Linked DNA regions of Macaca fascicularis. The protein of the gene in region 2 interacts with the protein of the main gene of each other region in a biochemical or structural test. Links are inferred from orthologs where the notes say so. Each region holds a gene or a part of one and is shown on either strand. Other genes may lie near its edges.

The links. The genes of interacting proteins can lie anywhere in the genome.
Region 1: the proteins of KLKB1 (region 2) and KNG1 form a complex in vitro, tested with the Homo sapiens proteins (4 studies listed by BioGRID). The link is inferred for Macaca fascicularis from reciprocal best matches to the Homo sapiens genes KLKB1 and KNG1.

The regions. Positions count from the first base shown.
Region 1 is NC_088376.1:11,772,814-11,780,608, forward strand, and holds part of KNG1 (kininogen-1), read right to left. Parts: intron 5,635-7,795; coding exon 5,462-5,634; intron 3,689-5,461; coding exon 3,581-3,688; intron 1-3,580. UniProt on the Homo sapiens protein: Kininogens are inhibitors of thiol proteases.
Region 2 is NC_088379.1:190,992,767-191,000,561, reverse strand, and holds part of KLKB1 (plasma kallikrein), read right to left. Parts: intron 7,249-7,795; coding exon 7,089-7,248; intron 5,777-7,088; coding exon 5,667-5,776; intron 1-5,666. UniProt on the Homo sapiens protein: Participates in the surface-dependent activation of blood coagulation. Activates, in a reciprocal reaction, coagulation factor XII/F12 after binding to negatively charged surfaces.

The DNA.
Region 1 (7,795 bases), on a different chromosome or scaffold from region 2:
AGTGTCTCTGTCGCCAAGGCTGGAGTGCAGTGGTGCAATCTTGGCTCATTGCAACCTCTGCCTCCTGGATTCAAGTGATTCTCCTGCCTCAGCCTCCCAAGTATCTGGGATTACAGGTGTGTGCAACCACACCCAGCTTTTTTTTTTTTGTTTGTTTTTTTAGTAGAGATGAGGTTTTGCCATGTTGGCCAGGCTGGTCTCGAACTTCTGATCTCAAGTGATCCACCCACCTCGGCCTCCCAAACTGCTGGGATTACAGGCATGAGCTATTGTGCCCAGCCAGTATCATACAAATATTGTTCATTGTTTTTACACCAGGTCACAAAAAGATTCAATAAATTTTACAAAGCATAAACAATACAGAACATGTTCTTTCACCTCAGCACCAAAAAGAAAAAATAATCTGTAAAAATTAATAGCATGTTTAAACAAACAAAAATGATATACTTGGAAATAAAAACATGCTTGCCAATAAAGTTAGGGTCTTTCTTGGATAAGGAAAAATAAAACAACCAAAATAACAAAAATGAGAATTCCATATAATGTTATCAGAACAGCATTTTAAGTTAATTTTTGACTTGACATGAGTTCATAGTTTAAAAACAGCGGGAGAAAAACAAATAGAAAAACCTATGCCTAGGTCCCCAGAAGTGAGGAGAAAAAAGAATAATAAACAAACATAGCCAAGTGCTGTGTGATAAATGTGATAAAAACATGTATAGTATAAAATCTGCAATTTTAACAGTTGTAAAGGATATAGTTCAGTGGCACTAATTCCATTCACAATGTCATGCAACCCATCACCATTTCCAAAAGTTTTCATCACCCCAAACAGAAATTCTCTACCCACTGAGCAATACACCCCCATTCTCTCCTCCTCTCCACTCACAAATTCACATCTACTCACTGTCTCTATGAATTTGCTTATTCTAGATGTTTCATGTAAGTGGAATCATACCATATTTTGTGTGTGTGTCTGGCTTATTTCACTTAACATCATATTTTCAAGCTTCATCCACATTGTAGCATGTATCAGAATTTCATTGTTTTTAAAGGGTGAACAGTGTTTCATTGTGTATATATATGATAGCACATTTTCTTTTTTTTTTTTTTTTTTGAGACGGAGCCTGGCTCAGTCACCCAGGCTGGAGGTGCAGTGGCGCGATCTTGGCTCACTGCAAGCTCCGCCTCCCGGGTTCACGCCATTCTCCTGCCTCAGCCTCCGGAGTAGCTGGGACTACAGGCGCCCGCCATCATGTCCGGCTAATTTTTTGTATTTTCAGTAGAGACGGGGTTTCACTGTGTTAGCCAGAATGGTCTCGATCTCCTGACCTCGTGATCCGCCCGCCTCGACCTCCCAAAGTGCTGGGACTACAGGCGTGAGCCACCGCGCCCGCCTGATAGCACATTTTCTTTATCCATTCACCTGTTGATGGACACTTGGGTTGTTTCGACTTTCTGGCTATTATGAATTTTGCTGCTATAAATATTCACGTGTAAGCATGTGTTTGAATATGCGTTTCCATTTCTTTGGGCATATACCTAAGAGAGCAACTTCTGGATCATATAGTAATTCTATAGTTAAGTTTTTCAGAAATTGCCAAATTATTTTCTATAATGGTTGCAGCATTTTACAGTCCTACTGGCAATGCACAGAAGTTCTAATTTCTCCATGCCCTTTCTAATACTTGTTATTTTGTGAACAAAAAGAGGTTTTTTATATATTCTGCATGTTAAACTCTTGTCAGATACATGATTTGCAAATATTTTCTCTCATTCTGTGAGTTGTATTTTTACTCCCTTGACAGCGTTCTTTTTACTTTTTTCTCAATAAAATAAATGCATGCTCAATTAGAAAACTCGGGAAGTATCAAAAAGTTCCAAAAAATATAAAGAATCAGAAAAAGCGGCTGGGCGTGGTGGCTCGCACCTGTAATACCAGCACTTTGGAAGGCCAAGGTGGCTGGATCACCTGACGTCAGGAGTTCGAACCCAGCCTGGCCAACACGGCGAAACCCCCATCTGTACTAAAAATACAAAAATTTGCCGGGCATGGCAGCGGGCGCCTGTAATCCCAGCTACTCAGGGAGGCTGAGGCATGAGAATCACTTGAACTCTGGAGGCGGAGGTTGCAGTGAGCTGAGATTGCACCACTGCACTCCAGCCTGGGTGACAGAGCAAGACTCCTTCTCAAAAAAAAAAAAGAAAGAAAGAAAAGAAAAAGCACCCAAAATTCCAAATGAAAGTTAACTACATTCTATATTTTGTCGTAATTTGTTTTCCATCACTTTTTATATTTATATTTATTTTACATATTTAAATAAATCTGCATGTATAGCTTTGTATCCCACTTTTTTTGTTTTTTACTTAACATTGTAACCATTTCACTATGTCACTAAAAATTAAAAATTTTTGATAGCTGTATCATGTTAAACTCTTGCAAATATTTTCTCTCATTCTGTGGGTTGTATTTTTACTCTGTATGGATATACTGTAATTTACTTAACCATTCTCTAATGTTGCATAAACAATTTATTTACAATATTTTTCTATTAAAAAGCAACTGAAATTAACATCTTATGGTCTGGATTTCCCATATAAAAGAATTAGCAGCAGAATTACTAGATCAAAGGACTTGTAGCAATTCCTTGCCTAAAGCACAGTCTTCTGCTCACATGCAAACATCCCTGGGCACATATCATGTCTTAGCCATCTTAACATTCACTGGCTACTACTACCTTGAGAGACACCATTTTAATATAATTTTGGTTCAGATAACAAGATACGATGCTAGGAAGGACCACTAAGGGCTAGAGACTCAGGGTCTGTTTATTAAAGATAAAGGTAGGGAAGAGAAGATGAGAAAACAAGCAGAGGAAAGTTTGACATGAAGAATAACCCTGGGGAGAGCAAGGGAATACCATATGGGCATTGAGCACACGGGGAAGAAAAGGAAATAGGAAAGTGTGGAGACATAATGAAGATACACTTGACAGTTCAAGCATTTTGTCTATTCGTCGTCCCTGGTTACACTCTGTAAATACTTACCGCTGGCCAGGCGCGGTGGCTCTCGCCTGTAATTCCAGCACTTTGGGAGACCAAGGTGGGCGGATCACCTGAGATCAGGAGTTCCAGACCACCCTGGCCAACACGGTAAAACCCTGTCTCTACTATAAATACAAAAATTAGCCATGCATGGTGGTTGGCGCCTGTAGTCCTAGCTACTTGGGAGGCTGAGGCAGGAGAATAGCTTGAACCTGGGAGGTGGAGGCTGCAGTGAGACGAGATTGCACCACTGCACTCCAGCATGGGGAACAGAGTGAGACTCTGTCTCAAAAAATAAATAAAATAAAATAAAGTTATAAAAAAATACTTAATGCTAGCTGTGCAGATTCTTTGGCCAGGTAGGTAAGGCAGCTTGACCAGTGATGTGAGCTTTAGGCTTCCCGAGTGAATGTGAATATGAATTGCTGAATGTCATCTAAAATTTTCGTGACGGTCTTCCCACTCAGCTTGATAGTTACCATCAAAATGTAAACAAAATGCTAAGAACTTTATCATTAAATTTTTGCCCACTTACACCATTCCAAAGGGACTTGCAGTCTGGAGTTAAGAACAGAAAATTCTCTTTGGAACAATTCGTTTGCACAATTGAGTAGGTAATTAGAAAGTTCCATCCAGCCACCACCTGAAACAATTTCAGATTGAATATTTAAAGGGCGGTTTAAACATTATTCGCTGTGGGATATGAATGTTATGAGGAGGTTAGAAAACTGTGTGGCAATATAAAAAGTGCTCAAGAAATATAAATTATTATTATTACTAGGCAAAAAAATGCTGAATAAACATTGAGCACCTTAACACACATCTCTCACACAAACACACATACACTATACACACACACACACACACACCACTAGCCATCTGAAAATGACAAGCTATTTATATATATTTTGCTATTTTTCAGCCAGGTTTGGAACATGGATTTCTTTAAGTAAATCCTAACAATGGTCCCCCTGCCAGGCTGCAGAGAGAAATGTTTACTGAATTTCATAAAATAGTAATGCCCTTCTAGATGGACAAAGAAAACTTTGGAGGGGAGTGGTCTTTACTGCTGGGTCCTCAGGCTCCCAGGTTACCAAGTAGTAAGATTTCTCCTACTTTAGTCTGGGCCTCTCCCACCCTGATAGCTCTATATGGACATCATTGAGTAAAGCATGCTCACATGAAAGCAAGTTGTAAGGTTTATTAAATGCAGAGAATGTTGCTGACCAAAGGGAATCACTCATAATAAGAGGCTGAAATATAAGCGACCCAGTCAACTATCAGAAAAGTCTGCGTGGGCCAGGCGTGGTGGCTCATGCCTGTAATCCTAGCACTTTGGGAGACTGAGATAGGTGCATCACCTGAGGTCAGGAGTTCAAGACCAGCCTGGCCAACTTGGGGAAACCTTGTCTCTACCGAAAATACAAAAATTAGCCGAGTGTGGTGGCGGGTGCCTGTAAGCCCAGCTATTTGGGAGGCTGAGGCAGGAGATCTCTTAAACTTGGGAGGTGGAGGTTGCAGTGAACTGAGATAGCACCACTGTACTCCAGCCTGGGCAAAAGAACAAGACTCTGTCTCAAAAAAAAAAAAAAAAAAAAAAAGGAAGAAATTCTGGTTGTACTGAATCATTAAGAAGATTTGTAGCTGAGCACAGTGGCTCAGGCCTGTAATCCCAGCACTTTGGGAGGCCGAGGTGGGAGGATGACTTGAGGTTGGGAGTTCGAGACCAGCCTGGCCAACATGGTGACCCCTCATGTACTAAAAGTACAAAAATTAGCCAGATGTGGTGACGCGTGCCTGTAATCCCAGTTCCTCGGGAGGCTGAGGCAGGAGAATCACTTGAACCTGGGAGGCAGAGGTTACAGTGAGCCAAGATCGTACCATTGCTCCAGCCTAGGCAACAGAGCGAGACTGTCAAAAAAAAAAAAAAAAACAAAAAACAAAAAACCACACACAAAAAAACCAAAAAAACAAAACAAAAAACAGATTTATGGATATTTACTTTTTTTTTTTTCTGTTGATATGGGAACTGTAACTTAGTGGGTAGCCAGAAAGCCATGCCGACCATTGTAGACACAATGTAATATTTTGGAGCTGTGTTAACTCATGATTGCTAGGTGATAGTAGAGTTTTCTGAAAATCCTAAGGCCACTATGACTTTCCTTTTCACTGTCTCTAGGAAGAGCCTGTAATGACGATTACCCATTTGTTAAAATCAAACGTCAAAGGAAGGGAGTCTGATTAGACATCTTTTCTCACTTTACATGTATCCAACTCACTTTGACTAAGGAGAAAGCCCTTTGCTTCCTGTGCTAGTCACATGAAAACACCACCAGCCATGCAATCATACATTTTAAACGTAAAGATCTAACACATTTTAGTAATACTAGGTGACCTAGAGAATTAAAGAACAAACCTGTCTTTGGGCCCGTTTTACTTCACTAAGCGTGAAGAGGGAGGAACGTTGAGTGTTGTTGTTAAAGTACTGAACGCCGTGTCTCAGAATGGGCTCCAGGTCTGGGCTCTGCGTTGATATAGGATGCACACAGCCAAGGCAGTTATACTGGGCTGTCACCACAGGGCCCTCGGCTTAACAAAGAACAGACAAAAACGCAGCATTAATGATTACAATCAGCATTCACATACATTGCCCTAAACAAAGAAGAGGCTGGGCATGGTGGCTCACTCCTGTAAAACCAGCACTTTAGGAGGCAGAGGCGGGTAGATCACCTGAGGTCAGGAGTTCAAAACCAGCCTGGCCAACATGGTGAAACCCCATCTCTCCTAAAAATACAAAAAATAAGCCGGGTGTGGTGGCGTATGCCTGTAGTCAAAGCTACACGGGACGCTGAGGCAGGAGTATTGCTTGAACCCAGGAGATGGAGGTTGCAGTGAGCCGAGATCATGCCACTGCACTCCAGCCTGGGAGACAGAGCAAGACTCTGTCTCAAAAGAAAAAAAATTTTTTTGCAAACCATTCATCCCACAAGGGACTAACATCCAGCATATACAAGGAATTTAATTAACTCACCAATTAAAAAACCAAGTAGTCCCATTAAAAAGTGGGCAAAGGATCTCAGTAGGCATTTCTCAAAAGAAGACATACAAATGGCCAACAGATATGTGAAAAAATGCCCAATATCACTAAGCATTAGGGAAATGCAAATCGAAACCATTATGAGATGAGATATCATCTTACCCATTAGAATGGCTATTATTAAAAAGAGTGTGTATTAAATTACCAAGTAATGTTCATAACAGATAGCCCTAACCTACTGGTCAATAGAGGCAAAGTCCATAAAAAGGTAACATAGCTGAAGAGTGAGCGGCACACCTGGAGGGACCCCCTGGGAGCCTGGGCTTCTTCACCCACCAAGCTCTCGCTGCTTGCTGTGTAAGCGGCAAACACAGCTAGGAGGGTATGGAGAAAAGGGAACGCTTATGCACTGTTGGTAAGAATGTAAATTAGTACAACCACTATGGAAAATAGTGTGGAGATTTCTCAAGAAATGAAAACACCAAATACCATATATCCAGTAGTCCAGCTACTGGGCATCTACCCAGACGAAAAGAAATCAGTCTATCAAAGGGGTACTTCCACTCCCAGGTTGGTCGCAGCAGTATTCACAATAGCAAAGATATGAAACCAACTTAAGTGTCCATCAAAAGGTTAATGAATAAAGAAAATGTGGGGGACCAGGTGCGGTGGCTCACACCTGTAATCCCAGCAGTATGGGAGGCTAAGGTGGGCAGATCACCTGAGGTCAGAAGTTCGAGACCGGCCTGACCAACATGGTGAAACCCCATCTCTACTAAAAATACAAAAATTATCTGGGCGTGGTGGCGGGTGCCCATAATCCTAGCTATTCAGGAGGCTGAGGCTGGAGAATTGCTTGAACCCCAGAGCTTGCAGTGAGCCAAGATTGTGCCACTGTACCCCAGCCTGGGTGACAGTGCGAGACTCCATCTCAAAAAGAAAAAAAAAGAAAATGTGGTATATATGCATAATGAAATACTATTTGACCATAAACAAAGAATGAAATCATATCATTTAAAGCCACATGGACAGAACTGGAGGTTGTTCAGTGAAACAACCGAAGCACAGAAAGACAAACTGCACATTGTTCTCGCTCATATTTGGAAGGTAAAACACTTAATCACATGGAGATAGAGGAGAGAAGAGAATGACGGATACCAGAGGCTGAGCAGGGCAGGGAAGTAGAAGGGGGAAATGAAGAGCTTGGTAAAATAGGTACTGAATTATAGTTAGATAGAAGAAATACGTTCTAATGTTATATAGCAGACTAGGGTGACTATAGTTAGCAACAATATATTGTATATTTCAAAGTAGCTAGAAGAGAGGACTTGAAATATCACCAATTCATAGACATGATAAATATTCCAGGTGATGGGTACCCCAAATACTCTGACTTGATCATTACATGTTCAAGGCATGTAAAAAACACTTACATGTACCTCATAAATATGTAAAATATAATGTATCAGTAAAAGAAAAAAAGAAGGAGAAGTTAATACATGTAAGGAGCTTCGAGTCATGGCTGGGACATAAGGACTCAATACATGTTAGCTATTATCTTTATCCTGATTGTTGCTAATATGTTATTATGATTAATATGTTAGTATGTTGATTGTACCTCCAGACATATCATCTCATTTCAGCCTCACGACAGTCCTGTGAGGTGGGAAGTACTGTTACCTCCCTTTTCTAGACAACGAAAAGGACAGCCAA
Region 2 (7,795 bases):
AATTGGATTCTCCAACTCACCCAGCAGCCACTCCCAGAGCCCCTGGAACTCTGACCCAAGGCTCTCTGACTGACTCCTTCCCAGATCTTCTCGGCTTAGCAGCTGAAAACTGACGCTGCCTGATCGCCTCAGAAGCCTCCTGGACCATCACAGACGCCTTGGGCAACTCTTACAGTGGAGGGTAAGTCCGTCCCCTTCTTAATTAATACAGCGGCTACCCACTCCACATTACCTTCTTTGCAAGGGCCTGTTTCCCTTGCTCCCATAACTGTTGTGGGTATTGATGGCCAGGCTTCTAAACCTCTTAAAACTCCCCAACTCTGGTGCCAACTTGGACAACATTCTTTTATGCACTCCTTTTTAGTTATCCCCACCTACCCAGCTCCCTTATTAGGTTGAGGCATTTTAACTAAATTATCTGCCTCCCTGACTTTCCTAGGCCACAGCCACACCTCATTGCCACCCTTGTCCCCAAAGCCTCCTTCGCATCCTCCCCTTTTATGTCCCCACCTTCATCCACAAGTGTAGGTTACCTCTGCTCCCTCCTTGGCGACTGATCATGCACCCCTTACCATCCCATTAAAACCTAATCACCCTTACCCTGCCCAATGCCACTATTCCATCCCACAGCACACTTTAAAAGGATTAAAGCCTGTTATCACTCACCTGCTACAACATGGCCTTTTAAAGCCTATAAACTCTCTTTACAATTCCCCCATTTTACCTGTCCAAAAACCAGACAAGCCTTACAGGTTAGTTCAGGATCTGTGCCTTATCAACCAAACTGTCTTGCCTATCCACCCAGTGGATATATACTCTCCTATCCTCAATACCTCCCTCCACAACCCCTCCATAACCCATTATTCTGTTCTGGATCTCAAACATGCTTTCTTTACTATTCCTTTGCACCCTTCATCCCAGCCTCTCTTTGCTTTCACTTGGACTGACTCTGACACCCATGAGGCTCAGCAAATTACCTGGGCTGTACTGCTGTAAGGCTTCACAGACAGCCCCCATTACTTCAGTCAAGCCCAAATTTCTTCCTCATCCATTACCTATCTGGACATAATTCTTCATGAGAACACACGTGCTCTCCCTGCTGATCATGTCTGGCTAATCTCCCAAGCCCCAACCCCTTCTACAAAACAACAACTCCTTTTCTTCCTAGGCATTAAGTACTTCCGCCTTTGGATACCTAGTTTTACCATCCTAACTAAACCATTATATAAACTCACAAAAGCAAACCTAGCTGACCCCATAGATCCTAAATCCTTTAGCCACTCCTCTTGCCATTCCTTAAAAACAGCACTAGAAGCTGCTCCCACACTAGCTCTCCCTAATTCATCCCAAACCTTTTCATTACACACAGCCAAAGTACAGGGCTGTGCAGTCAAAATTCTTACACAAGAGCCAGGACCATGCCCTGTAGGCTTTCTGTCGAAACAACTTGACCTTACTGTTTTAGGCTGGCCCCCATCCCCATGACTGTATCTCTCTGATCCACCTGACATCCACTCCATTTCCCCATACTTCTGTCTTTCCTATTCCTTACCCTAATCACACTTGGTTTATTGATGGCAGTTCCACCAGGCCTAATCTCCACCCACCAGCAAAGGCAGGGTATGCTATAATATCTTCTACATCTATCATTGAGGCTACCACTCTGCACCCCTCCACTACCTCTCAGCAAGCCAAACTCATTGCCTTAACTTACCTCTCAGCAAGCCAAACTCATTGCCTTAACTCAGGTCCTCACTCTTGCAAAGGGACTATGCATCAATATTTACACTGACTCTAAATATGCCTTCCATATCCTGCACCACTATGCTGTTATATGGGCTGAAAGAGGTTTCCTCACTCTGCAAGGGTCCTCCATCATTAATGCCTCTTTAATAAAAACTCTTCTCAAGGCCACTTTACGTCCAAAGGAAGCTGGAGTCATTCACTGCAAGGGCCATCAAAAGGCATCAGATCCCATTGCTCAAGGCAACACCCATGCTGATAAGGTAGTTATAAAAGCAGCTAGCATTCCAACTTCTGTCCCTCACGGCCAGTTTTTCCTCCCTCTAATCGGTCACTCCCATCTACTCCCACATTGAAACTTCCACCTATCAATCTCTTCCCACACAAGGCAAATAGTTCTTGGACCAAGGAAAATATCTCCTTCCAGCCTCACAGGCCCATTCTATTCTGTCATCATTTCGTAACCTCTTCCATGTAAGTTACAAGCCACTAGCCTGCCTCTTAAAACCCCTCTTTTCCTTTCCATTGTGGAAATCTATCCCCAAGGAAATCACTTCTCAGTATTCCATCTGCTATTCTACTACTCCTCAGGGATTGTTCAGGCCCCCTCCCTTCCCTACACATCAAGCTTGGGGATTTGTCCCTGCAGAGGACTGGTAAATTGACTTTACTCACATGCCCCGAGTCAGGAAACTAAAATACCTCTTGGTCTGGGCAGACACTTTCACTGGATGGGTAGAGGCCTTTCCCACAGGGTCTGAGAAGGCCACCGTGGTCATTTCTTCCCTTCTGTAAGACATAATTCCTTGGTTTGGACTTCCCACCTCTATACAATCTGATAATGGACTGGCCTTTATTAGTCAAATCACCCAAGCAGTTTCTCAGGCTCTTAGTAGTCAGTAAAACCTTCATACTCCTTACTCTCCTCAATCTTCAGGAAAGGTAGAAAGGACTAATGGCCTTTTAAAAACACACCTCACCAAGCTCAGCCTCCAACTTAAGAAGGAGGACTCTGTCAAGGATAGAGCCCAAAAACTCAGCAACCAAGCAACTAATTATGTTGAACCCCCTCAGGCACTCTCTAATTAGATGTCCTGGGTCCTCCCAATTCTTAGTCCTTTAATACCTGTTTTTCTCCTTCTCTTATTCAGACCTTATGTCTTCTGTTTAGTTTCTCAATTCATACAAAACCATATCCAGGCTATCACCAATCATTCTATACGACAAATGCTCCCACTAACAACCCCACAATATCAACCTTTACCACAAAATCTTTCTTCAGCTTAATCTCTCCCACTCTAGGTTCCCATGCCACCCCTAATCCTGCTCGAAGCAGCCCTGAGAAACATTGCCCGTTATCTCTCCATACCACCCCCAAAATTTTTGCCACCCCAACACTTTACTCCTATTTCATTTTATTTTTCTTATTAATATGAGAAGACAGGAATGTCAGGCCTCTGGGCCTAAGCCTGAACACATACATCCAGATGGCCTGAAGTAACTGAAGAATGACAAAAGAAGTGAAAATAGTCGGTTCCTGCCTTAACTGATGACATTACCTTGTGAAATTCCTTCTCCTGGCTCAGAAGCTCTCCCACTGAGCACCTTGTGACCCCCACCCCTGCCCACCAGAGAACAACCCCTTTGACTGTAATTTTCCGTTACCTACCCAAATCCTGTAAAATGGCCCCACCCCTATCTCGCTTCCCTGACTCTCTTTTTGGACTCAGCCTTCCTGCACCCAGGTGATTAAAAAGCTTTATTGCTCACACAAAGCCTGTTTGGTGGTCTCTTCACACAGATGCACGTGACATTAAATATATGCAATACTTCAGCCCAATGTCCTAACCTATTAAAATTGCTTTTACTTTGCTTTTCCTATCTAATATGTCGGGCACTATTTATAGATATTTTGGCCAAGCAACCAGTTGATTTCTAGGACATTCTCTATTTCAAGTATACCATCTGGTTATTCTCAGAACAGAAACCATGATGTTGCTCCCACTAATTGCAATTTCATCAACCAGGTTCATTTATCAGATTTTCTTCCCCAGAGGTGATAAAAATAAAAAAATAAAAAATAAAAAAACTTTTTTTTCCAGTTTATGTTCTCCTACTTTTGGCTTGAAAAATATGTTTATCACCTCAATTGATAAATTAATAAGTCATATGGTAGATTTCCCATATCAGAATTGCAAACGGTTTTGTTAAATTAACTGGGAAGATGTGATTACCCTGACATCTGTCAAGATCTATGCAGGAAGATGGACCGCAAGAGAAGGAAATCTGTAAATATGATGAATTTATATGAGTTGAGAGGCAGGAGACTTTAAAACACCATTAAATCCATTAAAAAATCAAAATGGGGAGTGAGCAATGTGAAATCTGTGTGACCCAAGGGTCAAGTTCTCGTTCAGCTCATCAGCTATATGACCCCCAAGCACCTTCACTTCTGCCCTCCTTCTAGGAGCCTTAGGGGTTTTGTTTGTAAAATTAGAAAAATCCATGGTGAAACTAAGGACAAACCTGTAGTGATGACTACAGATGATCCCTAACTTATGAATCTCATCTGGGCAGTGAGGCCAGGAGACAGCCCTACTCCAGGTTGAGGAGGCACGTAGCTACTGGGTGTTCCCTAAGGAACGGGGAACACGTACTCAGTGAAAAGCCATGCCTTTAGCAGCTCAAAACACTGCCTGAAACAGCCAGATTTTTACCAGTCTGTAAAGGCCATTTGATCAGATTAAATCACATGTGAACTCACTGCAATTTAACAAGAAAGCAAGTACAGAGATGAGCCATCCAGGGTGCTCTCCCAGGTGTGGACAGCAGCTGTGACAGCCCAGAACCACGGCATGAGCTTGCCTGTTCCCTGGGTAAGTGCAGCAAATCCTTCCAGCAACAGTGCTGGGTACAGAATGGAGCATGCTTGCATCGAGTCCTGCCTCCTGGCAGCCTTCAAAAACTCTCCCGGAAAAAAATAATATGAACGTTAAAATCACATCACCAGTACACGTGAACCTGGCACGCACCGTGGAGAAGGTGTGCTGTCACAAAGAGGAGACAGGAAAATAGACACCTTGTAACCAACCTTCCCAATCTTCCACAGGGAAATCCTAGCCCAGCACCCAATACAGGGCCAGGCACAGAGCCAGCACCCACTACTGCGGAGAACTGGCAGTAAGGGATTTGGTTTCAGTAACATCTTGTCGTTAACATCCTGATACGCTAAATGAGGTGGAATGTCATGGCAATTTTCTGGACAATTCCATTGAAATTACCTTTATGTGTGACACGACAGAATGTTATTTCCCTCCCCCCGGTAGAGTCATTTCCCTAGATAGGGACACAACCAAGGAAGGTCCTTACAGTTTTGCTACAATATCATTGTACCTATAACAATATCACTGTACTAGTTTCCTATAACTGCTGCTATAGGGGCATAACCACAAACTCAGTGGTTAAAAACAACAAAAATTTATTATCTTACCATTCTAGAGATTGGGTCTTACTGGGCTAAAATCAAGACATCAGCAGGGCTTGTTCCTCCAGGATGCTCCACAGGGAAACTGTTTCCTCGCCCTTTTCAACTTCTAGAGGCCACCTGCATTCCTTGGCTCATGGACCTTCATCTTCAAAGCCAGCAGTGTAACACCTTCAAACCTCTCTCTGCCTCTGACCCTTCTGCCTCTCCCTTTTTCTTATTAGCCTTGTGAGCACCCAATCCTGTGAGTACATTGGGCCCATCGAGAAAATCCAGAGTAAACTCCCCATCTCAAAGTCCTTAACTGAATCCCATTGATAGAAACGCTTTTGCCAGCTATGGGAACACACGCACAGGTACCGGGGCTCCGCACAGGGACATCTCTGGGGGGTCCTATTCCGCCTACTACAATCACAAGGTGAAGTGGTCCTACAATTACCAATTTCTGAAAGGGCACAGGGCTTCAGTGAGAATCCAGATTCCACGTTATTCAGCACCTTTATAGTGGTAGGCGTTCCTCCGGGACTGTGCTTTAAGAGGCAAGTGTTCCTGAATGGGAAGAAAAGAGGTGACTTTGCTTCCTGCACTTTGAGGTGGACGTAGCAGTCCAGGTAACATTTAGTATTCAAACGGACAGTGGAAAAAACAATGATGCTGATAATGAGTGGGTTAGGGGTTTGCATTATTAATCAAATGGACATCCTTCTCCTCACAAAGGGGTCAAGGGAAAGTTGGGGTGAGAATGAGGCAGGAGACACCATGACACTAAACCCTCATTCTATAAGTAAGGCCTATGCGTGGGGCAAATGGAACTTCAGGAAAAATGACACCAAAATTCACTTCAGGAAAGCAAAAAATGACACAGACGTCAGAAAATGACTTCAGAAACAATGACACCGAAATTTCGCTTCAGGAAAAATGACACCACAACTGAGAAGAGCATGGAGTGATCGACAGTAGAGACTGGGAAGGTGATAGAGAGGTGGGAAAGGGGCAGGTGATGACAAATTGCTTAGTGGGTACAATGTACGTGACTCCAGTGATGGATATACCAAAAGCCCAGACTTTACCACTGTACAATACACCAAGGTAACAAAATTACACTTGTACCCCATACATCTATGCAAACAAAAATGAGATTTAAAAATAAGGAAAGAAATTCACAAGTTAAAATCAAATTGTGATTAGCTCTACGAATGAAATAAACAGAGCTGAATGTAGCTTAAAAGAGAATGCTCAGAAATGGCCCTTTGGAGGGGACGGTATTGAGGAAAGACCTGAAAGAATCAGCCTTTGGAGAAGTGGTGGAAGAGGATGCCAGGCTTTGAAGATGGGGTACAATTACCTGCCAGAGGAAAAGAGTAGAGAAACAAATAAAATTAAATGAATTATTTAACTTTAAAATGAAGGGCCGGGAGCAGTGGCTCATGCCTGTAATCCCAGCGCTTTGGGAGGCCCAGGTGGGTGGATCACGAGATCAGGAGTTCCAGACCAGCCTGAGCAACATGGTAAAACCCCGTCTCTAGTAAAAACATAAAAATTAGCTAGGTGTGGTGGTGGGCGCCTGTAGTCCTAGCTACATGGGAGGCTGAGGAAGGAGGATTGCTTGAAGCCAGGAAGCACAGGTTGCAGTGAGCCGAGATTGCGCCACTGCACTCCAGCCTGGGCAACACGCGAGACTCCGTCTCAAAAAAAAAAAAAAAAGAAGATAAAAATATAAAATAGAGTAAGTAAATAAGGAAAGTGGTTAGGAGTAAAAGCCCTGTTTGGTTTTTAGTTTGGGAACAAAAGAGGTTGTGAAGAATACAGTGAAATCCTGGGGGCACTAATATAAAGAACAAACACCATGAATTGTACTCACCGGTACTCTGCATTGTGAAAAGTTTGTGTGGCATATGAAAAAAATTGGCAGCGAATGTTATTGGTGCACCTTTTTTGGCATTCTTCAACACTGCTAACCTTAGATACATTAAAATTGACTCCTCTCATATCAATTCCTTTATAAATGTCTCGGTGGCAAGCTGTACAAGAAAAAGGAAATAGAGCAAACACAGTCCATTTTCTTTCTAGAGGTAGATTAGATACCCACTACCATTTGGGCTGGTAGTTTAGAAGGATCCCACTACCATTTGGGCCGGTAGTTTAGAAGGATAACAGCCCAGTTTTGGCAATTGCTATATTAATTAAGGGATTTAAAATTTTTATGATGTCCATAAATTATCAAACTCTGCTCGAAGTAAATACAATCCAGTATTTTCCTGAAAGCACTAGCTTGGAAATTGGGTTACTTCGCTTCTTAAACTGCAAGATGCATGCAGCAATACAGGTAAATTTCACGTTGAAATTAACAGTGAGCAGTGGGAAATAAACAAGGCAATAATAATGAGGACACTGATCATGTGTGCTGAGGTTTGCATTATTAAAGAAACTGATGTGCCTTTGACCTTTTGCATTGAATGAAGGAGCTTCTCTATCTCCCAGTGTTCTTTCTCTGCTTTCAACTTCTCCTGTCTGACTACAAATTGCATCTGGATCAATCGTTACAAAATGTGGAGAGTTGTTGTTTAT